Linked DNA regions of Drosophila melanogaster. The protein of the gene in region 1 binds, or shares a complex with, the protein of each later gene. Each region holds a gene or a part of one and is shown in the gene's direction. Other genes may lie near its edges.

Region 1 (5,208 bases):
TTGGCTGAAAAGAAGACCACCGAGCAGGCCATCAAGGACATCTCACACTGTGCGTTCGACTTTATCCTGAAGCTGCACAAGAACTACGGCAAGGGCAAGCCGAGCCCGGGCCTAGAACTTATCCGCACTCTGATCAAGGCGTTGAGTGTGGACAAAACGCTGGCGGAGCAGATCAACGAGTTGCGCCGAAATATGCTGCGTCTGGTGGGGATTGGTGAGTTCTCCGACTTGGCTGAGTGGGAGGATCCCTGCGACAGTCACATCATCAACGAGGTCATCTGCAAAGCGTGTAATCACTGCAGGGACCTGGATCTCTGCAAGGACAAGCATCGCGCCATGAAAGATGGAGTGTGAGTTACACAAACCAGTACACATAATTTACCACAAATAATTGATTAATGTTGGATTTTTCAGACCCGTTTGGCTGTGTGCCCAGTGCTATGTGGCCTATGATAACGAGGAGATCGAAATGAGAATGCTGGATGCACTGCAGCGCAAGATGATGTCCTATGTGCTGCAGGATCTGCGCTGTTCGCGCTGCAGCGAGATCAAGCGCGAGAATCTGGCAGAGTTCTGCACTTGCGCTGGCAACTTTGTGCCCCTCATCAGCGGGAAGGACATCCAGACACTGCTGGGCACATTCAACAAGGTGGCTGCCAACCACAAGATGCAGTTGCTCCAGCAGACTGTTCATCAGGCGCTGACCACGCCACGCTAGGACCTAGTTTGTTGTTGTTTTCTAGATCGTAGGGCTTAAATATATTGTATTTATAATGGAATTTAATTCGATTTTAATGAGTTTTGAGTTTATGATGTCGCACAAGACGAATGTCTGTGTTAAGGAATGGACGCGCTTTATAATTCAATGAGATTCACACACTTTTAGTGGCTTTCGCATACGAATCGCTTGTTGTTTTCCCGATTTTATTGGTTTTTTTTGTTGACTTGCCCGCGGTTTTTGGGGGCGCACAGGCGAAATCAGCAGCTGAACTTAAAGCAATTAGACTAACTCATTCGCGAAGAGCGATCTCTACTGTGGGGCCTGGGTGATGGGATCGACCTTAACATCGGGGAACTGGAATTCGGGGAACTTCAGCATGTCGGTCTTGCCATCGCTGCCAAACTGCTTGGCCACACGGTCCAGTTCGGTCTTCAGCTCCCGCTCAATATCGGGATTGGAGTCCACCAGCTTGCCACCGCTGCAGGTGAGCAAAACAAGGATTATGTCGAGGCACACCAACGGATGAAGGAGCCAGAACTTACGCGCTCTTCTGCTTGTACTCGCGCACTTTGTCCAGGAACAGCTGCTGGATGGGATCGGAGGCCTTGTTCAGGGCAGGGGCAACGATTCCGAAGTTACGACGGGCCTCTGTGCGCAGGACACGCATGCCACTCAGCAGGGATTGCGACAGCATCTGGAATTGATAGATCCTTGTTAGAATAGCAATAAACGGCCTTCTTCATATGTAACCTTAAAAAGGTTATGTAATACAATTGTTTGTTTCGACGTTTCCCAATCGGTTTTCAAGCCGACTTTGCTAGCAACTTTATCTTGTATTCAAATTGTATTCCCTCAATCAATTTTTATGTATTTTAAATCTTGTTTTCACCTTATTTTCCTTTGCAAATGCTAACTTTCGTGCGGAAAAGTTACAATTGTCAGTTCACAATGGCAGTTGGTGTTAGTGATGTGCGCGTGATGGGTGTATGCGATACTATTGGACGTAAGCTTTTTAAATAGTAAGGGTATTTCCTAAGCTGATTTTTTGCTTTATCCTGTATTTGTCAGCTGTATCATATAGATTATATTCGTTGCGAACAAGAATTTTAATCAACAATCCGTTTAAATTACTTGCCTCTATCGAAATACAGCCTATAATAAAAATATTACAAATTATGAAAAGCTAATTTATACACTGTGTCTGTTTATGTATCTTACTATACATGTCCAACTTAAATCAAAACTGCTCCATAAACGTTCATACCAAAACACCACCTAAACTGTATCTAAAATCCCACACAAGCCAAAACCCGATCTAAATTGAATATAATTAATAAATTCTTGTTTTACTATAATATGAATATGAATAATATGAATATGAACTAAAAACTTTGAAATTATTCTATCTCATCTATGGACTAGAGTGACCATGTGATCAATTGCAAGTGTAACCATCAGCCACTGCCGCGCTCAGGTCACACTGCTCAACCAGGTTCCACGTCAAGCGCCGGAAAAAAACACGACTTGCATTTAATCAATTTATCTGGCGACCGGACGAACGGATTTCGAGCAAGATGGTGAGCCTGCTGCAAGAGATCGACACCGAGCACGAGGACATGGTCCACCACGCAGCGCTGGACTTCTACGGCCTACTGTTGGCCACCTGCTCCTCGGACGGCAGCGTCCGCATCTTTCACTCGCGCAAAAACAATAAGGCGCTCGCCGAGCTCAAGGGACACCAGGGACCAGTGTGGCAGGTGGCCTGGGCACATCCCAAGTTTGGCAACATACTGGCATCGTGCTCCTACGACCGCAAGGTGATCGTCTGGAAGTCCACAACGCCCCGGGATTGGACTAAGCTGTAAGTAAACGGGCACACCCATACCAACAAAGTTATGTTTGTTTTAGGAATCGACCAGGGGATACCCATTGTTAGGACCTTGATTAATAATAATACTTTAATAGCTTGATCCTTGATTAATAATAATACTTTAATAGCTTTGGAAATCATTATTTTAATATTTATGCTTGGACGTCTTGTATCAAATGTAATTTATCATTTATAATTGTTTACATCATGGTATTGAAAATATTTAACAAGAAGAATCAGATCTTGTTATAATAAATATATATAAATATATATATATGTTGGTGTCCTTTAAATTGTTCCCTCTGTCATAACACAATAAAATACTCTCTTATTGACGAGATTACGAGGTAGCAATGCGCCATGTCATACTTATGTTTAGATTTCCGTTATCATTTAAAGAGTGCCACATCTAACCTCTGTGCTTGCCACATTTCAGCTACGAATACAGCAACCACGACTCCTCGGTAAACTCGGTGGACTTCGCGCCATCCGAGTACGGATTGGTGTTGGCCTGCGCCAGTTCGGATGGCTCGGTATCGGTGCTCACCTGCAACACGGAGTACGGTGTGTGGGATGCCAAGAAGATACCGAATGCGCACACGATCGGAGTGAATGCCATCTCGTGGTGCCCCGCCCAGGCACCAGATCCAGCATTTGACCAGCGCGTAACTTCGCGTTCGGCGGCCGTAAAGCGCCTAGTGAGCGGTGGTTGCGATAATTTAGTGAAGATTTGGCGGGAGGACAACGACCGCTGGGTGGAGGAGCACCGACTGGAGGCGCACTCGGATTGGGTGCGCGACGTGGCCTGGGCGCCGTCGATCGGATTGCCCCGCTCGCAGATTGCCACGGCTTCGCAGGATCGCCATGTGATTGTGTGGAGCAGCAACGCAGATCTATCCGAGTGGACCTCGACTGTGCTGCACACATTCGACGATGCCGTGTGGAGCATCTCGTGGTCAACCACCGGCAACATTCTTGCCGTCACCGGTGGGGACAACAATGTCACATTGTGGAAGGAGAACACGGAGGGCCAATGGATCCGCATCAACTACGAGTCGGGTACGGCCATCCAGTCGAAGCAGCCCTCGCACCTTCCGCATTCCCACTCCCAGCAGCAGCAGGCGCTACAACAGCACCAACAACAGGCGCCATCGCATCCAGGTCCTTCCTCCGATTCGGAGCATAGCTCGAACCTGTCCAACTCGCAGCTCTCCAACTGAGCCAGCCCCGAAATATTGTCGTGCTGAAGTCGTGGTTAAAAGTGTTACTTTACAAATATATATATACGAAATACTATTTAATGTGCCCCTTTAAACGCTGTTTAGTGTATGTTTATTTGGACTTCATATGGGATCCCTATTTGAATCTTCTGAAATTATAATGAATTCTAAAGACAAGTTTTTGTCGAAATGGTATCATTTTTTTTAAGTTTTATCAAATATATTTGCAAATTGTAAGTAGTATGTATTTAAAAATAATAGTATAATAAGATTTAAATAATTAACCAAATTTTATTCAAACTTATTATTTTTAACCATACAGATAAATTCCAAAACTAAAATTTTTACACAATTTTTGAATGTCACTTTAGGTTTGTGTACAAGCTTGTTGTAATCTAGTTTCCGAACCATGTCTGCCTAGTACTACTGTGAATCAATTTAAGTAAAAACGAGGCAGAAACAGCAAATAGCTAAAAAACATTTTAAATTAATGAATATTAAAAGTAATTAAAATAAATTGTTTAATTCAGTAGTGTATAACTGTAATTTTTGGAAACCAAATTGGTATATAGTGGTATTTATTTCCAGACCGGGTGGTATTTTTTAACGTGTCTCGCGCGGGCACACTGGCCTCTTTCTTTTCTGCGCACCACGTTTCCGATTCGACGTCAAAATGAATGCGAACCTTCCGATTTCCAAGAAACGCAAGGTAATTGGGGAAAAATGAGACAGGATTACCTCCGGCATGTAATGCAGTGTCCGTACGTTCGTTGTTTCATCGGAGTTGTGTGAAAAACCCGGCCGGAAAGCGCGAAAATCCATCGGCTTCGGAGTTAACCTCAAAGCAGATGGGCGTCCCAAAAACTTTGGAACTCAACAACGCGTGGTGAAACAACAACAACAAGAAGGAGGATTGCTAGGTGTGCAATAGATGTGGAATGCGGATTATAATGGTTTCTTTTTGCTCCCCAGTTCGTTTCCGATGGCATCTTCAAGGCTGAATTGAACGAGTTCCTGACTCGCGAACTCGCCGAGGATGGCTACTCCGGCGTGGAGGTCCGTGTGACCCCCTCTCGCACTGAGATCATCATCATGGCCACCAAGACCCAGCAGGTGCTGGGCGAGAAGGGCCGTCGCATTCGGGAGCTGACCGCCATGGTGCAGAAGCGTTTCAACTTCGAGACCGGACGCATTGAGTTGTACGCCGAGAAGGTGGCCGCTCGTGGCCTGTGCGCCATTGCCCAGGCTGAGTCGCTGAGGTACAAGCTCACCGGAGGACTGGCCGTCCGTCGTGCTTGCTATGGTGTGCTCCGCTACATCATGGAGTCGGGAGCCAAGGGCTGCGAGGTCGTCGTGTCCGGCAAACTGCGTGGTCAGCGTGCCAAGTCGATGAAATT
Region 2 (6,695 bases), on another chromosome or scaffold:
CAGCGGATACGATATTCTACAGGTCCTGGAAGTTGCAGCAATTCGTGGTTTTCGCGAAGGAGCTATCCGAAAGATATGAGAAGGAGGCTCTGGTCAAAATGGAAGTTGCCGGTAGGAATAATAAAGCTCCTCTTTGTCGAAAGCAGCCCCTTTAATACGTTTGAAAATTCAAAGAAGCACAGATTAATTTCTCAAATTCGATTTACCATCTTAAATATAATCATGTTACTTTTCTTATAGGTAACATTGCTCACTCGACTGAAAGAAGCCAGCTCATTGCGCACACAACTTTATGGGAATTTCCCGAGCACGTGGACTCCTATGTCCATCTGGGGTTTCTTCTCCTTGCCGAAGAAGTCAGTTTAAGGCAATAAATTAAACAATTTTTCAACTTAATACAACATATGGTTTCTATCAAATGTTCATGTTGGGCAGTAAAACTTCATTACAGCTTTAGATTAAGCGAATGCTTAAAGAAGTAATAAGTAAATTCTATAAACTTAGGTCCTATGAGAAAATCGGAATGTAACTATTAAATGCATCGTTGTGCGTTTTTTTTAAGTCTGAACGGAGATCCGCTCCAGTCGGGGAGCGCTGCGGAACTTGGTCCACCACCAGAACCAGGCGCACGAAAATCCCACAGCCAAGGTGGTGTAATACAAAATAGTAGCCAGGCTCCACTTCTTCTGCAATGCAAATTTGTATAAAGGAAAATAATTTCTTATTGCTTGCTATATTCACCTTCTTGTGACTCTCGTTGCCCTGCACTTTCTTCTGGCTCCTTGCGTTCTGGGCATTAGCTTCGATTTTCGCGAGATCCTTGGCAATCTCTTCGGTGATCTGATTCACGCTTTTTAGAGTTTCCTGGGCAAAGCAGCTGGCATATCGTTTGTCGCCCACCACGACGTCCTCGGGAGTGGAGACCTGCAGCTTGTAGTTGGTGGCCGCTAAAGAAGCGCGCAGGGACATAAAGTGGTTGCCAGCATTGCCCAGAATCTGATTGTTGTAGTTTTCGGCTTCAGGATGGTTGCAAATGTATTCGTAACTGGGATTCTGGTTGGGAATCTTTTCGAACATCTCCAGGAGCTGTTGCCGTTGCTTTCGACACTTGAACCCGAAGAGTTCCAAATCTTCGTCGGTGAGAGAGGCCAAATCCAGATAGTTAATGTTCTCGGCAATAAGTTTGTCCACACAGGTGCTGGCGTAGTCCGTTTCCACGCTGGTAGAGCACAGTAGACCGTTGAGGATCTCCCTCTCCCGGCGTGTGTCCCTGTGAGCCTTTTGGCGAACCCAAGGACGTCGATTGTAGCCCAGGAAAGCACTGTCCAATTCCTTCTGCTCGGTGTGCGAGTGAAAGTTCTTTGTGGCCTCAAACTGAATGGTCGGCGGAACCTTGGCCATCGCCACCAAGGGGACATCCCCCGCGGACATTGTGTGCGTCTTCGTTGCCATAAACTCTGTCAATAATGGCAATTAAATTACCATTAAAATGCAATTGCGCTTAGATTAGATTCGCTGTTAAGAATCGGACGTTTACGAGCACTGCGAGTAGGGGTGGTCAAGATTCCTAACAGATTATGTTAAAAGTAACAGAAGTAGTAAGGGCTCTGTAAACATTTAAAACGTGAATATTAACAATTTAGTAATTTTATTTCCTTTTTCCTATTTCGCATTCTTGTACGAATCGAATTTTCTTCTAATGAATCACCCTACCCAACCAATTAAGATTAAATGCTTAACATTTGTATTTAAAAAGTATAACAAATTGATAAATTGATGACGATTAAGCTTCCTAACTATCCTATTTCTCGGACGATGACCTGTAGATTGGGGCACTGGTGGTGGACGCCTCCTGGAGCTTCTTCATAAACAGAGCCTTTCGCTGCTCATCCGCACTCAGTTTGGTACTTGAAACGGAGGCTTTGATGCGCTCTAACTTGTCGACGTTCGGCTCGGTTAACACCATTAGGCCGTACCCCATTCCTCCGAAGCCAATCAGCCACAAAACGGACTTAAAGTAGGGATTACTAAGCATTTTGGAAGCGGTCTCCTCTAGTCGCTTTTCTTCAAAGCACTCCAATAACTCGCATCCGCCTGTCGCACTGTGCTGTCTCCGACGATTTCACCAATTTTGTAGTAATAGTCCAAAACGAAGGGATAGTTCTCGTGAATATGCTGACGAAACTCTAGGAGCGGATTGTTATTAACGATCAAAATAATTATATAAATATCCTCCCACCTCGATTCGTGTTCATGCGATAATAAACGCCGTAGCTGGCTGCGAAGCAGACTGCCTCGAGGACAAACAGTGTTTTGGCACTTCCTTTGATGAATTTCCAAATTGCAGGTTTTGGTGTTTTGCGCAGCATTTTAAGTGGGAGTTGTAAATATTAAACACGTTTGCTTTCTTACAAAAAAAAAAGGAAAACAAAATCACCTACCAGCTTATCGATAAAACGAATTATCGAACTGGGCCAGTGCTGGCTAACATGCGGCCAACAGCTGGTCGACCGGCTAGTGTGTGTGCGCCTCTTCTTCTTGCCATGTAGTGCAGTGTTTATCTCACGTTTTTGTTTTTGCAAACTGATAACGCGACGCAATTTAGTCTGTAGTGAAAATTGTTTTTTTTTACATCGATGGAAAATCGGCCACGATGAGCGGCAATACACACGGACTCAGCTGGTTTCCACATTTTCCCGACAAATTCGTATCCTGGGGCCAGGAAATCCATTTATACGAAGTGCGCCGCAAAGATGATCACAGCCAAAAAAGTAGGGTTTTCCCCAAGGGATTATGCCACTTTACTTAACCGCCCCCCTTGCAGGTCGCCTGCCTTATATATCCGTGAACTACCTCGCCAACGAGTCGCGCTATCAATATGCCCGCTGCGTGGCCGCCTCCTACCACAGTGACCAGCCCATAATTGCAGTGGGTCTGGCGGATGGCAAAGTCGGGATTTGCAACTTCCGGGACACCTACGACAGCAGCTGGGAGTACAGTGGGTGGACGACAACGCCGATTCTTAGCTGCATCTAATAGTTCTTCATTTCTCGTAGCACCGCGTCAGCAGCGCATGTGCACCTGCCTCGCCTGGAACGAGCTGGATGCCAATATCCTGGCCATTGGACACGATCGCCATCGAAATGACACCTGCATCACCATCTGGGACATTGAGCGTGGAGTTCCCAAGGAGACGGCCAACTTCTTCGGCGTCGGCGAGTCGGCCAACTCCATTTGCTGGGATCGAAATCATCGCACGGTCATTGCGGGAATGAGCCAGAAGATGATAAAGCTGTTCGATCTGAGGCGTGAGTACACATAATGCGACTGGTTATATTTCAACTACGTAGTATTACTTTATTGCCCTTTCACTGATGAAATCTTTAAATCCCTTTCGCAGAGAGTAACGCCACCTGTCAAAGCATTCAAACAAAGACAGTGCAGGGACTTTCCGTATCCCCCAATGGCAACTATCTCTGCAGCTATGTGGACTCGGTGATCACTCTGTGGGATCCGCGAAATATCAAGAGTCCCCTCAGGCAGATTCAGTCCTCGAAAAACCATTTGCAGATCGCTTGGTGTCCGACCAGGACAAGCCTGCTTTCCTCGCTGCAACGCGATTCCTCCTACATCACTCTCTACGACATCCGGAGTGTGGACACGGACAATTCCGGAGAGATCTACCACGTAAAACGACAGATTAGCCCCTTTCCGGCTAGATACCAGCACAGTGGAAAGTTTTCGTTTGTTAATTGCCTGTCGTGGCATTCGAGGGATTTCGAGAGAGCTCTGCTTTTGGCAGATGCGCTGAACATCCTGGACTTTCGACTGCCAGCCACCTTGCACACGGCGCACAGCAATCGCCGGAAATTGCCACTTCTGATGCAGCGTCCGCTCTACACACCCGCCTCGCCGACTTCCACTGCGGCCACGCCCACTCAGCAGCAGCCCACGAGCAGCTGCAGCACGAATAGCGGGAGTTCCCTGGACTTTAGCACTCCTGGTGGTTCGCCCTTCAATGTGGACCTGCTGAAACCGGAACTCTTTGAGCTGGATCTGGTGGACGAGACGCGTCAGCGCGCTCTAGAGGATTACGGCATCAAACCCGATAACAAGCGATTCGGCGAACTCCACTTGACACCGTATCTGCGAAATGTGTGGTCCACTTTGAACAATGTCTACAGCGAGGATCGACTGACGGGCTTAAAGGCCACTTTGGGCATTAACTTGGGACACACCTCGGAGGCCTTGATGGCCAGCTCCCGCATTGAATCTCAGGTGCTCCAGTGGCCAGAGGGCATCAACAACTCCAACAAACTGATATGCTACAGGTAAGTTTATATGAATTTGTGGTTTGACGAGTGTGATAACCCCAATCTTTATGCAGGAGTGAGCAGCGCGACCTGGCCCTCCAACTTTGCGGTTGGGCCTTTGAGCAGGAGCTGGATCGCTTTATAGACCAGTTGTATGCAAACAAGGAGTACAGCCGGGCAGCCATGATCTGCGTGTTCCACTTGAAAATTTTCCATGCCTGCAACATCCTATCGTCGGCGGCGGACAACATGAGGGATCCCAGCATGTACAGGATCACCGTCATCGCCTTGTCCAGTTTCAATGCAGATCGCTGCAGTTCCACGTGGCGGAATCAGCGATCCAGCGCCAACATGCAGATACACGATCCACACTTAAGGGCTGTCTTCTCCTTTCTAACGATGGAGAAGGACAATTTTGATGCAGTGCTCAAAGAGGAAGGCGTTTCGTTATCAGACCGCATGGCCTTCGCCTGCAAATATCTATCGGAGACCAAGCTGGCTGACTATGTTGCGCAGCAAATCCAGGCGGCCATAGATGGTGGCGATCTAAATGGCTTGTTGCTCACTGGAGAGTCGCAGGACGGAATCGATATACTGCAGTCCTATATGGACACCAGCTTCGATGTGCAGGTGAGCGTGCGCTATAAAAACATATGTAGAAACTTTGATATACATTGAGCTGTTTCTTAGACGGTAGCCCTGGTGGCCATTAACTACTTCCGGCAAGAGCTTTTCGAGGACAAGCGCATCCAGTACTGGATCGCCAGCTACTTGGATCACCTCAATAGCTGGGGCTTGTGGGAGAAGCGGGCCGAGCTGGACATCAAGATCGAGAGCATCCGCCCATCCTCCCGCAGTTCCCGCACCGTATTTCTGTCGTGCAACTTTTGCGGCAAGTCTGTGTCCAACGCCTTGCTGGACGAGCCGCGTCCACGGAGCACCACCACCAGCACCAACAGGCTCTCCTCATGCCCCAGCTGCCGGAAACCCCTGCCCCGCTGCTCGCTCTGCCTAATGCACATGGGCACAATGGTGAACATGAGCAATGGGGAGACCCCGACCACCACGCCCGACGTGCCCGGCTGGCAGACCAAGCCCTTCTCAAAGTGGTTTTCCTGGTGTCAGACCTGTCGCCACGGCGGACACACCGAGCACATCATGCAGTGGTTCAAGTGAGTTCAAAGTTACCAATATTTAATTGAATTCTGACCAATGTACGCGTTTATTTGCCAGGCAAAATTCAGAGTGCCCCGTGTCGTCGTGCAACTGCCGCTGCTTCGACATGGACGGCACCAAGCCGAACACATTGAGAGACATTTCCTAGCTGTCCGGAGCACCCACCATACACAGCCCTTACTCGCCCAGGCCATATGCATATGCATTAAGTTGTTGATTTGTTCCAAACGCGTGCGCCTTAAACAAACTCAGAAGTGTTCATTGTACTTAGACAAGGGATGTGCCCGTAGCATTAGTGTTTATGACCTACCAGCTTTTAGCTGCTCAATTGCATTTTATACTTACATTCAAATAAAGGACTATGTGCGACAAATTACTATAGATATTTCTCAGCTTTTCTTTTGAAAGTTGAAACCGTTATAGTTTCGTGTTTTGCAACACTTTCAGGTAGTACTTATTAGCATTCTTGTTGGAACTGATAACGGTCACACCGCTTCGCACGTTTTTATGCGGCGTTATTATTTTTTGTTGCTTTCTGACGTAAATGTGCAGAAAAAGTGCTTCCACTCGTAGGGCTTAAGTGAATGGTTAATAACATTATGTGATAACGCCTGAACAAACAAATCAAGATATAGTGAATAGATTAAACCAAAAGACAGTGCCGATACACAAGATATAATATAAAGACGGTAAGTTGTGGGTGGGGGTACAAATTTCCATAAAGCATGTGAGTGCTACGGAATTTGAGCACAGCACTTTAACTGGCAGTTAAGATTAAATATTTGTACATGATAGCTTTGAAAATAGCGATATTTAGTTACTTGACCTTTTCAACTCATTCGTGTCTACACCTGAGGCTTTTGTCCAATCTGAGTGCCCGAAAACGGGTTTCCCATTAAGAACTCCCAAGTTTAAAACCTGCAGCGCATACAAATCCAAAATGCAAATACATACATACAAGCCGCATTTATTTATATTTTGATGCGAAGATCAAAGAAGGTCTCTCCAAATAGCTTTTGGCGGATTATTAAATACCTTTGGTGACGTCGTGTTTTCTTGTTGAACTAGCTGTATTTAGAAATCGAGACAATAAATTCGTGTGCGAAAAAGTTTTGAAACTTTGCCAACAAAATTCGACGCATCTCAGGCATTTTCACCGCGTGACCCCTTTGAAAATCGAAAACGCAGCGTTTTTTGTATGGTTCT
Region 3 (5,082 bases), on another chromosome or scaffold:
CAAATCCCAGGCAGTTAATCCGATCCGCAATGACGAACGAAGATGTGGGCACCAACAGCGTCGCCGACCGCCTACAGTTGGGTCCGCGCGAAGGCGTCACCTATCCGATCCAGATGAAGTACTGTGGCCACTGCACGATGCCCATTGAGGTGAGTTCGTCTTCAAACCTGGGAAAAATCCATATTAGGGATCATATATGGCCCATATATTTACATATATATATATCCACTATACGCAGTACTGCGAGTACTATCCGGAGTACGAGAAGTGCAAGGAGTGGCTGGAGCTCCACATGCCCGATGACTTCGAGCGACTAAAGATTGAGGAGGAGGCTGCCGCCGCTGACGGGACGGATGACGACAAGAAGCGCCAGAAACGCGGTGGCAAGGGACTGTTGCGCGTCAAGAAGAAAGAGGACGTGCCCAAGCGTATCTGCGTCTCGCGGGCGGCACGTGGCAAAAAGAAGTCAGTGACCGTGGTCACAGGATTGAGCACTTTTGGTAGGTTCTGTTCGCACATTATGAGTATAGAGTAGGAAATGGAGGGGGATGCGGGCCCACTGGATGCTATGAGTAGCCATTACCATACCATGTAACTTAGATATATTAGATATACTTATGAGCTTTATTGTTAACTAAGCATAATACATTCCCTGTCTGTTCCAGATATTGATCTCAAGGTGGCCGCCAAGTTCTTTGGCACGAAATTTGCCTGCGGCTCCTCGGTTACCGGAGACGACGAGATCGTCATTCAGGGTGACGTCAAGGATGACTTGTTCGATGTCATACCCGAAAAATGGGCCGAGATCGATGAGGACGTCATCGAGGATTTGGGCGATCAGAAGCGAACATAAATAATTTACCTTTTTTTTTAGCTTATTTTATACGCTCCATCAACATAAATATATGAAACGTTAAACGTAATAAGCGGATGGGTTATTTTGGCGGCTGCTACCCGAGGTTTTCTCCATCTGGTGTCGGATTGGACTTGGTTTCCATTGAAGTGGGTGCATCCGTTGCAGGCGCTGTAGTGGCTTCATTTGCTGGAGTAGCATTATTTTCTGAAGACGATGTTTCCACTGGGCTTGCTTCTTCTGCTGGAGTAGTAGTAGTGGCTTCACTTGAAGGAGTAGCGACATTCGCAGGAGTAACTCCATCACCTGGCGTGGTTTTGTCCGCTGGAGCTATTTGTTCCGCTGGATTGGATTTTGCCTGGGCATTACGCTTTACGCCAGATTGCTTGCCGGCCTTCGCAGTGGACTCCGCAGGCTTTTCCGCCGGTGTTTCCTTAGCAGCGCCTTTGGTTTCTCCACCATGGAAGTGTTTGTAGCTCAGCTGAATGATTTTCTCGTTCTCCTCATCGGTTAGTGGAGCTTTATTGTCGTCGATGAGCTGGGGAGGTTATTATATACTTAATTAGCCTTTCTGGCATATGATAGACTAATCCTTACCAGTTGCGTGTGTAGTGCACTTGTAGGCGGATCGTTGATCATTTGCAGGATCTCTTGGGACTTTAGACGATAAGAAGACAGGTCTTTAACGTAATTCATAATGTTCTCACGAGTTTGTGTCTTGCAGGGCGACTCCTCCAGATACTGCAGTGCCTGTGGAACAAAGTGTTTGGTTAATTTATCATATATTAGTTAAATATTTAAAAAAATCGACACCTCATAGGTAACCGTGGCCAAGTTGCGCATGCCGAACTTCTTTTTGGTGCTTTTGATCTTCTGTAGAATCTGCATTACCTCCAGATTGGTGAGGTACGAGAACGTGGGATTGATCCTGAAATGGAAGCGTTATCATCTGCATATTATTCGCTGTTTAATGGAAAAACTAAATAAAAACAAAACAATCCTCACGTTTCCATTTCTGCAAATTTTAGTATGACCGCAGAGCGAGCGCTAAAATATACCCCACCTACGCATATTACAGTTGGCCTTTATATATTAACATAACAGATAATTTATACATGAATAAAACGATCTACTCAACAAATTAAATGGTGTTGAATTAATTTGTTGTTAAAATTTGTTATAATTGGTTTTTGCATTGGAGTATATTTGTTGCAGTAAGGCTATGGTCACACTAAAGCATCGCTTACCATAACATTACAGCGAATTCCGCCACTGTTATTGGATTGTGCCACCTGCTGTTAAAGCTTTGGAGTCCACTCCGCGGAAGGAAGCAGAGGATGTGGATGCGGTGATACTGGAATCTTTTGAACGGCATGCATTCCCATACGAATGAGACGGCTGCGACGTCGACAACGGCGGGCGCGGTCACGAATGGAGCAGGCGGATCAGGAGCTGGAGCAGCGGGTGCCCATGGCAGCACGGAGGGCAAGATCCGGTGCATCTTCCTCAGCGAGTTTCATGCGACGGCGGGCTGCAAGATAAGCTGCCAGGTGAGCTGGTTCCCAGGAGCGCTGATAACGCAGTATAGTTCGAACAAATCCACGTCCCTCAGGTTCCTGATAACTACATATCCAAGGATGTGTTCGATGCTATCAATGTTTACATCATACCCAAGCAGCATCTTCAACGCTGCATTCTCACCGTCAACGCAATGGATGTAAAGATAGTCGGCTATCCAGTGGGCATCCAGGATCAGCAGAAGTACGCACGGAATGCCTTCCTGTTTAACCTATGCTTTGTCTGCGACTCGCGGGCCAGGAGCGTCCAGTACGAGCCGGTCGTCAAGAAGCTGTCCGAGTACCTCATAATGATGGAGGAGGAGTCGTGCTTCCTGTCTCGCGAAGATGACAAGCGCCGCCTACAGAACATCTTTGAGACTGTACTACGCGACCTTAACGAGCGGAAGGTGGCCACCATTGTTGAGGGCGATAACACTATATACCTGAAGATCGTCATGCACAAGCCGGACCCGCCGCCGGTCAAGGATCACATGGTGCCCCTGCTGCTGGCGAACCTGCGCGATGCTCCGCTGGACAACTGGGACCTTACCACACAACAGGTGCGGACTATTCCTGATTCTATAGTTATACAATCTTCACGATGTAAATAATTTAGTAATCCCATTGGACTGTTATGGTTTCCTCTAGATCCTGCCTTATATAAATGGAATCAACCATGTTGCCCGCATTGCCGCCGAAGCGGACGTGGAAACGGACCTGGTCAAGTCGTGCATACAGAATCTGGTCTACTACGGGGTCGTTCAGCTGCTGCCAATCCTGAAGTACAGCAACGTGTACATGACGCAGAACCTAAAGCATCTCATCCAGAGCGCATCACTGAGCGGCGCATGCCGGAAATACGTGGCCTTGCGTCCGGACAAGACGCTGCCCAGTGTTCAGCGCATCTTTCAGTTCTACGCCTCGATGACTCACGGCGTTACTCTGCGAGCGATCTGCCAGAGATTGTGCCCCCAGCACCACAACATCGATGAGCGTCGCATGGTGATCTTCGGGCTGCAGCACCGATTCATTCGCTGCATCCACAAGTACCCGGTGTTTACGGGCTCAGTGCCTTCCGGGCGGCAGAAGATGTACACCGGGCTGATCAGCTTTGACGAGATCTGCTGCAAGACGGGCCTCTCGCCCTGCACCATCGAGCGGGATATCGAGAAGGACACGAATGTGACTGTGATCTGGAAGTGACGACCGGAAGGACTTCTCCGGCCAGTTGGGTTTGTTGTAGTTTGTAAGCGAACCGATTGTTATGTTTCCAAATGCTTTTTTATATACGCGCATATACACATTAAAGTTTAAGAATTCACTGGTTTGGCTTGGGCTGGTTCCGGAATCGCTTTGCCAGCTGGACAGCAATCAGGAATCCTTTGCGCTAGAGATAATGCAATCCTGAACCGCCTGGGCCACACAGGCGTCCTCCGAGGCCATGCCTTAAATAGGAAATGTATGAAATTTTTAATGATACAACTTTGAAACAGACAGAGATAGTCATATAGTTACACAAACTTAATAAAAACGCACCCATGGATTGAAAGATGCTGATTTCTAGCTCCTTGGGATAGTTTCCATCCAGAATGATCTGACCCACTTCAGCGGTGATCGGCGCAGGTAATCCCACCAATTCAGCCTCGGCATTGGCATAGCAATCCACGTAGACCTTGGCCTGCTGGTAAATCTTTGGAGCCACCTCCGAAAAGTGAACTTCGCCGGCTCCCACAGCTGAAATCGAAAGTTATAAAGGGTAGGTCATCATCATCCATCCAGCATTCCATTATAACAGCAGACCTACCGTTAATATGAACAGCCCGTTTGGATTTCAGATCTGCCAACTGGATAAGCGGCTCCTTGGAGTACGTGGCGATGCAGATGATATCGGCATCCTGGCAAGCTTCGTGAGGACTTGGACATACAGTAATCTGGGTTCCGCTCTCGGTGTTCAATTTCTGCCGCAGTTGGTCCGCTAAACCCAGTGCCTTTGCCTGCGTGCGATTGTAAAGATTAAGCTGCCTCACCCGGAAGTTCGCGCAGAAAGCGGCAGCATGGAGTTGTCCTTGAACTCCACAGCCCACGATGGCCACGTTGATATTCCTTTCCTGCTCCGCCTGCGCCCCAAAGCGCCTGAAGTACAGATACTTGGTGGCCACCAGTGAAGCGGATACAGTGCGCCAGGTGGTCAAGTCCGTGCCCTCCATTATGGCCGACAGTTGACCGGTTTGATTGTCGAACAGCAGCACATGGGCATGGATGCTGGGCAGCGGAGGATCCCGTCGGGGATTCCCACTGAACGAGGTCACCAACTTGCAGGCCAGTGTTGAGTGGGTGTGCTCCACTTCCCCAGGATCCCTTGACGATTCCAGCCTGTAGTTGCCCACATAGGCGGGCATGGTGAGCAGAACCTTGCCAGGTTCCTTGCCGCATGGAATAAAAGTCCTCTTCGGTTGAAAGGCAAAGGATGTGGAGGGCGTTTCCGGATTCTGCTTAACTATAGCTACAAGTGCAGATTCCACTGCCTTATTGACCAGCGGCCAGGTGAGAACCTGACGCACAGCATCCGCATTGTAGTAAGCTGGCGTAGAGCTGCTCATATTGGCAATGAAATGGTTTTAAAACAAAGTAATTCTTGCAAATTAAAATATTCTAATTATAATTGGAATG
Region 4 (6,361 bases), 6.4 Mb from region 1:
TGCGAATGACCGGTCCGGAGTCGTCCATTTTGACCTTGGATGTAAATCGCATAACATGTCGATTAATTCCGATTTCCTTCAGGGCATCGGTTAGGTTTTGCAGCATTATTCGATTGTCCTTCATTACGAGGACGCCATGGATTAGTCGCCGCCTCTTGGGATCCGGTGGCTGGGCGTTGTAGGACCGGGCCTCTGCTTTAAGCAGGGAAACGGACGCATCTACTGGTATCTTCACAGGCGTAGAAATCACACAGGTTTCGCCGTTGGCCGGCATGTAGGTTTCCAGGTTGAATTCGTCTTTGATCTTCGAGCGCAGGAACTTCATCTTCCCTGCTTCACCATGGACGAGCATGACGTTCTTTGGCTCACAGTTCTGAATTAGCTGCATAATGCCTGCAATACAGAAAATTAATTAGTATCAGCATAAAAGTGCTAAGCTTGTAGCCACCTTTGGCATCTGCATGGGCCGAGAAGCTCATGTACTCCACGGCCATTTTGACCTCGACCACCTGGCGGTTCTCGAACTCCACCTTCTTGGCGCCACCGAGAATCTTGTTGCCCACGGTTCCCTGCACACAGTAGCCGGGCATAATCACCATGTTGTTCTCATTCGGCGCCCACTTCTTGAAGATCTGCAGGGAAAGACCTGCGTGCAGCATGCCTGGCGTGGCGAACACTACCATCGCGCCAGGATTGTCGATGTAGGCCTTGTCAAAGGGCTTGATGTGCTTGAAGTCGAACATGTTGCGGTGAACGAAGGTCTTGCGGATCTTCTGGTTCGTCCAGGTGATGAACATTTTGTAGTAGGTATTGGCCTTCTCGGTAAGACCCAGAGCAAAGTATATGGGGTACTTGAGGTTCATGCGCTCCCAGTACGTCTCCAGCAGGATGCACAGCTCCTGGGCGCGACCCAGGGCAAAAACAGGGATTAAAACCTTGCCGCCCTTAGCCACGCACTCGTGAACTTTCTTGAGGAAGTCCCTCTCGCGACACCGCTTCGAGTCCCTAATGGTAGTGGCGTAGGTGCTCTCGGAGATCAGCAAGTCCGGCCGGCACTTGTCTATCCAGGCGGCTCCCAGATGCCTGTCTGGAGTCATGTTGTAGTCCCCCGTGTAGACAACGCTCTGGGAGCCCACCTTGATCCAGAACATGGCGGCGCCCAGGACATGGCCTGCATAGTAGGCTTTGATCTCAAGGTCCGTGTCCACCATCATACTCTGGTGAAGTGTGACGGGAATCACCTTCTTCATGCAGTCCTTGATCATCTGGGTGGTAAAGAAGTTCGACTCGCCTTTCCGCTCTACGGCCACCTTCCGCATGTCCTCCAGGAGGATGGGTGCTATGGCCTTGGTCGGATGCGTCATGTAGATGGGCCCCGTGTAGCCCACAATCTCTGACATGTAGGGCAAGGCCCCGCAGTGATCTGGAATGCATGCAATCGATAAAGAAACGATTAGAGCCAGTTGACCAGATAAGAGCGCCTTTGGGAGGCCGAGACTCACCCAGGTGGAAGTGCGAGATGATCACACAGTCAATGTGGCTGGTGATCGGACCCTCCGGCACTATGTAGGAGAAGTCCGGGAAGCGGCGCTCGTCGTTGTAGCCCATATGCATCCCGCAGTCGAGCATTATGTTCTTCCCGCCCATCGAGAGCAGCAGACAGCTGCGGCCCACATCCTGGCCGGCGCCCAAGGGCGTTATCTTGATGTCCGGCATTTCTGGAAGGGATCAGGATCACCCGGCTCCACTCTCCTGCTTTCTTGCGGCCACTTGTTGCGCTGGTAAATGAAATTGTCGAAAAAGTCGACCGTGATTTTTGTAAACAGCAAGGCCGCACGAATGGCGTTGCCACTCCGTCGGTGTGGATGGTCCGGCAACGACGCGCTCCAACTGGCAGATCTTATTGGAGTGTTCCAAGAAGTTTCAAAGAATTTAATAGCTTAATTGAAATTAATGTTTCTGTCTGTATATGTATAGAATACATTAATTATATGTGAATAATACAACTTTAGTACAATAAGTCTTTTGTTCAAACAATATTCAACATCTGCATTTGGGAACACTCGCGCCAATGGTTTGCCGCTCGAGAAACGGTCATACTGAACCGAAAGGAAAATAAAAGATAGCGTCTTGTCTTATCAAATCACTGTTTTGCTTTCTGCGGGCGAACTTGCAACTGCTGCAGGATGCCCGATTCCGTGGAGGACACCTCCACAATCTCGCTGCGGATATGCCTGGAAGGACACGCGAACGCCCTGGCCCTGAATAAGGACAACAACCAGATTGCTTTGGCCGGAAGAAGCTGTAAGATTAGAATTGCCCAAGGTCTTTCTATAAATACACATAATTTGCTTCCGAACAGTGCTTAAGGTGTACTCCATAAACAGCAATGGCTTCACGGAATCGTGTAATATGCGCGGAAAGAACCAGAATCTTAGCTACTCCGCCAACGATGTGGCCTGGTCCACCTTGGATAGCAATCTTTTGGCTACGGCGGCCACGAACGGAGTGGTTTCCGTGTGGGATCTCTCCAAGTTCGGCAGGCAGAAGCAGCTGCTTGTCTACAACGAACATGAGCGCACCGCTCATACCGTGACCTTTCACAGCAGCGAGCCCAACATCCTGATCTCCGGTTCTCAGGATGGCACCATCAAGTGTTTCGACATCCGATCGGATAAGTCAATCAACACCTACTTCTGCAACTCGGAATCAGTGCGGGATGTCAAGTTCAGTCCACACACACAAAACATATTCTCCGCCGTCTCCGAGAATGGAACTGTCCAGTTGTGGGACATGCGGAAGTGGGACAAGTGCATGGTGCAGTTTACGGCGCACTACGGGCCAGTCTACACATGCGACTGGCATCCCACAAGGAATTGGCTGGCCACCGGAAGTCGGGACAAGCAGATCAAGGTGTGGAACATGGATGGCAGGCCGGGATTGGAGCACACCATTCACACAATCGCCGTAGTGGGACGGGTTAAGTGGCGACCAGAAAGAACGTAGGTTTTTCTAGCCAGGTTTAACAGTCTTATTTATATTAAATCTGTTTAATCCTTTCCAGTTATCACATCGCTAGTTGTGCCCTTGTGGTGGACTACAGCGTTCATGTGTGGGACATCCGCAGACCCTACATCCCCTTTGCCTCCTTCAACGAGCACACCAATGTGACTACTGGAATTGCGTGGCAGGGCAGCGACTCGCACTGTCTTCTGTCCATCAGCAAGGACTCCACCATTTACAAACATGCTTTTAAGGATGCCACGAGGCCAGCGCTGAAGGCAAATGCCCAGGGAGCTAGCCTGGGCAGATTTGGGGACATCTCCTTTGCCAACAAGATCAAGGAGTATGAACCCAAGACCAGCGGTGCATCCAATACCAAGTCTTCTAGCTTCATGTATGTCGTATTTGTTGTATCAACTTGTATGTTTATATGTATGTGTATTTTAGAAGTCGCCGTAAGACGAATGTGGCTGGCAGCATTCAGTTCCATTTGGACCATTCCAAAATGTACAAATTCATGGTAAACGACACGGTTAGTATGACACTATTAGGGATTTCTTTGCCAAATCTGATACTAATTGATATATTTCAGTTTTCCGGCTATCCCCTAAGCGAATCTGTTTCAAGACCCACCCAAGAACACGAAAGTTTTATTGGCTGTGCCAGGGAACTTGTTATCAGTGGGAAAAAACTATCGGAGTTATGCGAGCACAATGCAGAGGTTTCCAAGAAATACGGCAAACATAATGTAAGCGCTTGAGATTATTCCCAAAATTTGCCAAAACTTAGCATCTACATTTTTCAGGCCACCACATTGTGGAACTTTATCAAATTGTTCTACGGCAGCAATCACTTTGAGCCTCCCTTCGAGCACCGCTCCTCCTTCTCGAATCAAAAGAATCCAATGAACTCACGACGTGCCACGCAAGTAGCCAGCGATTGGCCACAGCAGCGAACTGAACTAGGCCAGGATCTCAATGGAAACACGCCGGAAACAGCCCACGAAATTGATGTGGCGAATGTGGACGATGATACGCTCGGCAGCAGTGGTGTGGAGCATCCGCCTACGAGCTCAGTGATTCTGTCCGAAACGCAAATCATCAGCGAGATTACCTTTGACAACTTTGAGCTCTTGCGCAATGGGTTTATCTACGTGGGTCCCACAGAATGCCCGAAAGCTTTGGCCTTCCCCGCCCTTCATCACGATGTGCAGGCTGCACGACCACAACTGGATCTCAAGGCGTCCGATCACGAAAAGTCACCTGTTAGTTGAGATTATTGAGAACTCGATGTATTTACAGCTTAACTAACTTATTCATCCTCTTTTTAGCCACCGCATGTTCCCACTGTCCTAAAAGTCAGCCATGTCCCGCCCATACCCATGTGGGAACCGCATAAGTTCGTCTCCGATGCCCTCATGCTAATGAACGATGTGGGCGATGTGCAAACAGCTCTGACAGTCCTTATAGCGCTGGGAGAAGCTCGGAAGCTCCTGCCCATTGACGATGCATTGGTGGTGAGTTCAAAGACAAAGTTGGGATCAGAACGGAGTTATTCATCCGGTTTTCTTCCTTTTCAGGAGCACTGGTTTTACACCTACGTGGACCAGCTGCATCGCTATGAGCTGTGGAACGAGGCCTGCGAGGTTATCAACCGCTCCTGGCTGAGATCGGTGCAGCAGCTCAACCAGCACTCGACCGCCATGCACACGAACTGTGGAGAGTGTGGACGTCCAATGGGCGGCAAGGTGGGATGGTACTGCGACAAGTGCAAGTCCATGCAGTCCGCCAAGTGCTGCGTCTGCGGTCTGATCGTCCGGGGAGTCTACGCCTGGTGCCAAGGATGCTCCCACGGCGGTCACATAGAGCACCTGCAGAAGTACTTTGCCAAACACTCCAAGTGCCCCAAGTGCGGACACCTTTGCGCGTACTCATGAGACGCGGAGGAGGCTGGGTTTGCCCAGCTTTTGCCCCCCATTTGAGAGCCTTGTAAATAGAGAAGACTTAAGCCCAATAAGTACCTTGCACTAGACACTAAACAGATTTTTATATAAATGTAGCTCGAAGATGTAAACTTGTAAAATAAGCTCAACGTTTGTGAAGTAAATTAACAGACAGGTTTAATCGATCTTCTGCAACTTTAAATAGCACAAATGTTTGTTACTTAACTTTTTTTGAAATATTGGAAAATAAAACTGTTGTCTGTTGATGCAAGTAAGTTTATAAACATTCTGGGCTTTTGAAAAAAGTGTCCACTTTATTGAATTTCTTCAATCATTAAAGGTTTTTGAAAGATTCGTATTGGGTTTTAATCGCTATTGTTGATTAGTGTTAATAACAGTTTAACAGTTATGCGAGTGTTTCAATCTTAGGGCTACTTGATGAAGGTGCTCTTAAAAGGTAATATTACAACCACCTTGGAGTTGAGAGGTCGAGCCGCACATTCAGTAGCAGAAAGGGGAGAAAAAATTATAAAATTGAGAGTTCTGTAGGGATTAAAAACAGAGAGCAACATATGTTGCGGTTGTCTTTAACTAAATATCTAATTGTATGTCCTCGCGGGTGGGTGGACAAGCACGTCCGTCCACAAGGACACCACCGCCAGCCAGCGCTGTCCAAAAATCCATCATGCCCTCAGCGCAATGGAATTTTGGCAATGCCTATATGCATTTAATGTTTTCTTAGAATCCAATTTTAGTTTTGTTGCATTGCGCTTCGCGCATTTGTAACTTTGAGATGGGGTGCTCCCACTCAAAGCTTGGACTTTGGAGCAGCGTTGGCGGCTAATTGTCAAGAGGCAAAATCGAGGCTCACAGTTTGGCAGGAGTCGCCCACTGTTCCACTGGAGCCGGCTGAGGTAGCATTCCGCTTGAGCGTTGGCCCCTCATCGTAGCGAATCGTCATGGAGTTGGAGTTTCCGGGAATGGCCACATAGCCCAGCGACTCATAGAACTTGATCAGCTTGTCCTTGCAGTCCAGCGACATTTTGTAGCAGCCCAGTTCCTCGGCCAGCAGCGATACGGTGACCACGATCCTGAATAGTAAGTCCGCGGATTAATGTTTCTTGTTGGGAAAATGATATACAACGCTTACAGTTTTCCCAGTTGCTTCCCGCGATACGTGTCATTGACCACCACATCCTCTAGACGGCCACGCTGAAGAATGAATCATAAGTTAAGCTAAATCATGGATCCTTTTCTCATCTTCTTCACTTACCACAGCACAGTTATGGATGAACTTGCGCTCGATCACCAAGGATGCAGCTCCAATAATCTCATTCTTGCGAGTGTCCTCAATGACGGTGACAAAGTAGTCCCCACTGGCTTTCATCTGCGAAAAGCGGGCTAGAAAAGATGGAG

The links.
Region 2: Sec13 (region 1) and mio share a complex: the UniProt entries of both Drosophila melanogaster proteins name them as parts of the GATOR complex.
Region 3: Sec13 (region 1) and Nprl2 share a complex: the UniProt entries of both Drosophila melanogaster proteins name them as parts of the GATOR complex.
Region 4: Sec13 (region 1) and Wdr24 share a complex: the UniProt entries of both Drosophila melanogaster proteins name them as parts of the GATOR complex.

Annotation. Positions count from the first base shown.
Region 1 is NT_033777.3:23,354,371-23,359,578, forward strand, and holds Sec13 (secretory 13), read left to right. Parts: upstream 1-1,907; 5' UTR 1,908-2,295; coding exon 2,296-2,582; intron 2,583-3,027; coding exon 3,028-3,811; 3' UTR 3,812-4,161; downstream 4,162-5,208. Other genes in the region: PolE1 (DNA polymerase epsilon subunit 1), read left to right, coding at 1-350, 415-718; ATPsynCF6 (ATP synthase, coupling factor 6), read right to left, coding at 1,031-1,199, 1,264-1,415; RpS3 (ribosomal protein S3), read left to right, coding at 4,485-4,520, 4,784-5,208. UniProt on the Drosophila melanogaster protein: Functions as a component of the nuclear pore complex (NPC) and the COPII coat. At the endoplasmic reticulum, SEC13 is involved in the biogenesis of COPII-coated vesicles.
Region 2 is NT_033779.5:2,214,774-2,221,468, forward strand, and holds mio (missing oocyte), read left to right. Parts: upstream 1-2,516; 5' UTR 2,517-2,653; coding exon 2,654-2,771; intron 2,772-2,824; coding exon 2,825-2,998; intron 2,999-3,056; coding exon 3,057-3,308; intron 3,309-3,400; coding exon 3,401-4,331; intron 4,332-4,387; coding exon 4,388-4,943; intron 4,944-5,003; coding exon 5,004-5,485; intron 5,486-5,546; coding exon 5,547-5,637; 3' UTR 5,638-5,852; downstream 5,853-6,695. Other genes in the region: CG34174 (uncharacterized protein), read left to right, coding at 1-111, 241-374; daed (daedalus), read right to left, coding at 558-686, 742-1,452; CG15386 (uncharacterized protein), read right to left, coding at 1,802-2,035; CG42371 (uncharacterized protein), read right to left, coding at 2,053-2,186, 2,240-2,369. UniProt on the Drosophila melanogaster protein: An essential component of the GATOR subcomplex GATOR2 which functions as an activator of the amino acid-sensing branch of the mTORC1 signaling pathway.
Region 3 is NC_004354.4:16,881,385-16,886,466, reverse strand, and holds Nprl2 (nitrogen permease regulator-like 2), read left to right. Parts: upstream 1-2,101; 5' UTR 2,102-2,226; coding exon 2,227-2,403; intron 2,404-2,465; coding exon 2,466-2,972; intron 2,973-3,060; coding exon 3,061-3,615; 3' UTR 3,616-3,783; coding exon of another isoform or gene 3,784-3,857; 3' UTR 3,858-3,948; downstream 3,949-5,082. Other genes in the region: DENR (density regulated protein), read left to right, coding at 30-149, 239-500, 666-853; Polr3I (RNA polymerase III subunit I), read right to left, coding at 951-1,391, 1,451-1,603, 1,667-1,781, 1,859-1,866; CG4872 (uncharacterized protein), read right to left, coding at 3,784-3,857, 3,949-4,146, 4,217-5,012. UniProt on the Drosophila melanogaster protein: An essential component of the GATOR subcomplex GATOR1 which functions as an inhibitor of the amino acid-sensing branch of the TORC1 signaling pathway.
Region 4 is NT_033777.3:29,740,825-29,747,185, reverse strand, and holds Wdr24 (WD repeat domain 24), read left to right. Parts: upstream 1-2,093; 5' UTR 2,094-2,186; coding exon 2,187-2,304; intron 2,305-2,362; coding exon 2,363-3,002; intron 3,003-3,064; coding exon 3,065-3,397; intron 3,398-3,450; coding exon 3,451-3,535; intron 3,536-3,595; coding exon 3,596-3,751; intron 3,752-3,808; coding exon 3,809-4,267; intron 4,268-4,333; coding exon 4,334-4,519; intron 4,520-4,582; coding exon 4,583-4,939; 3' UTR 4,940-5,214; downstream 5,215-6,361. Other genes in the region: IntS11 (integrator 11), read right to left, coding at 1-393, 449-1,423, 1,503-1,716; Gnpnat (Glucosamine-phosphate N-acetyltransferase), read right to left, coding at 5,447-5,488, 5,817-6,036, 6,096-6,157, 6,219-6,346. UniProt on the Drosophila melanogaster protein: An essential component of the GATOR subcomplex GATOR2 which functions as an activator of the amino acid-sensing branch of the mTORC1 signaling pathway.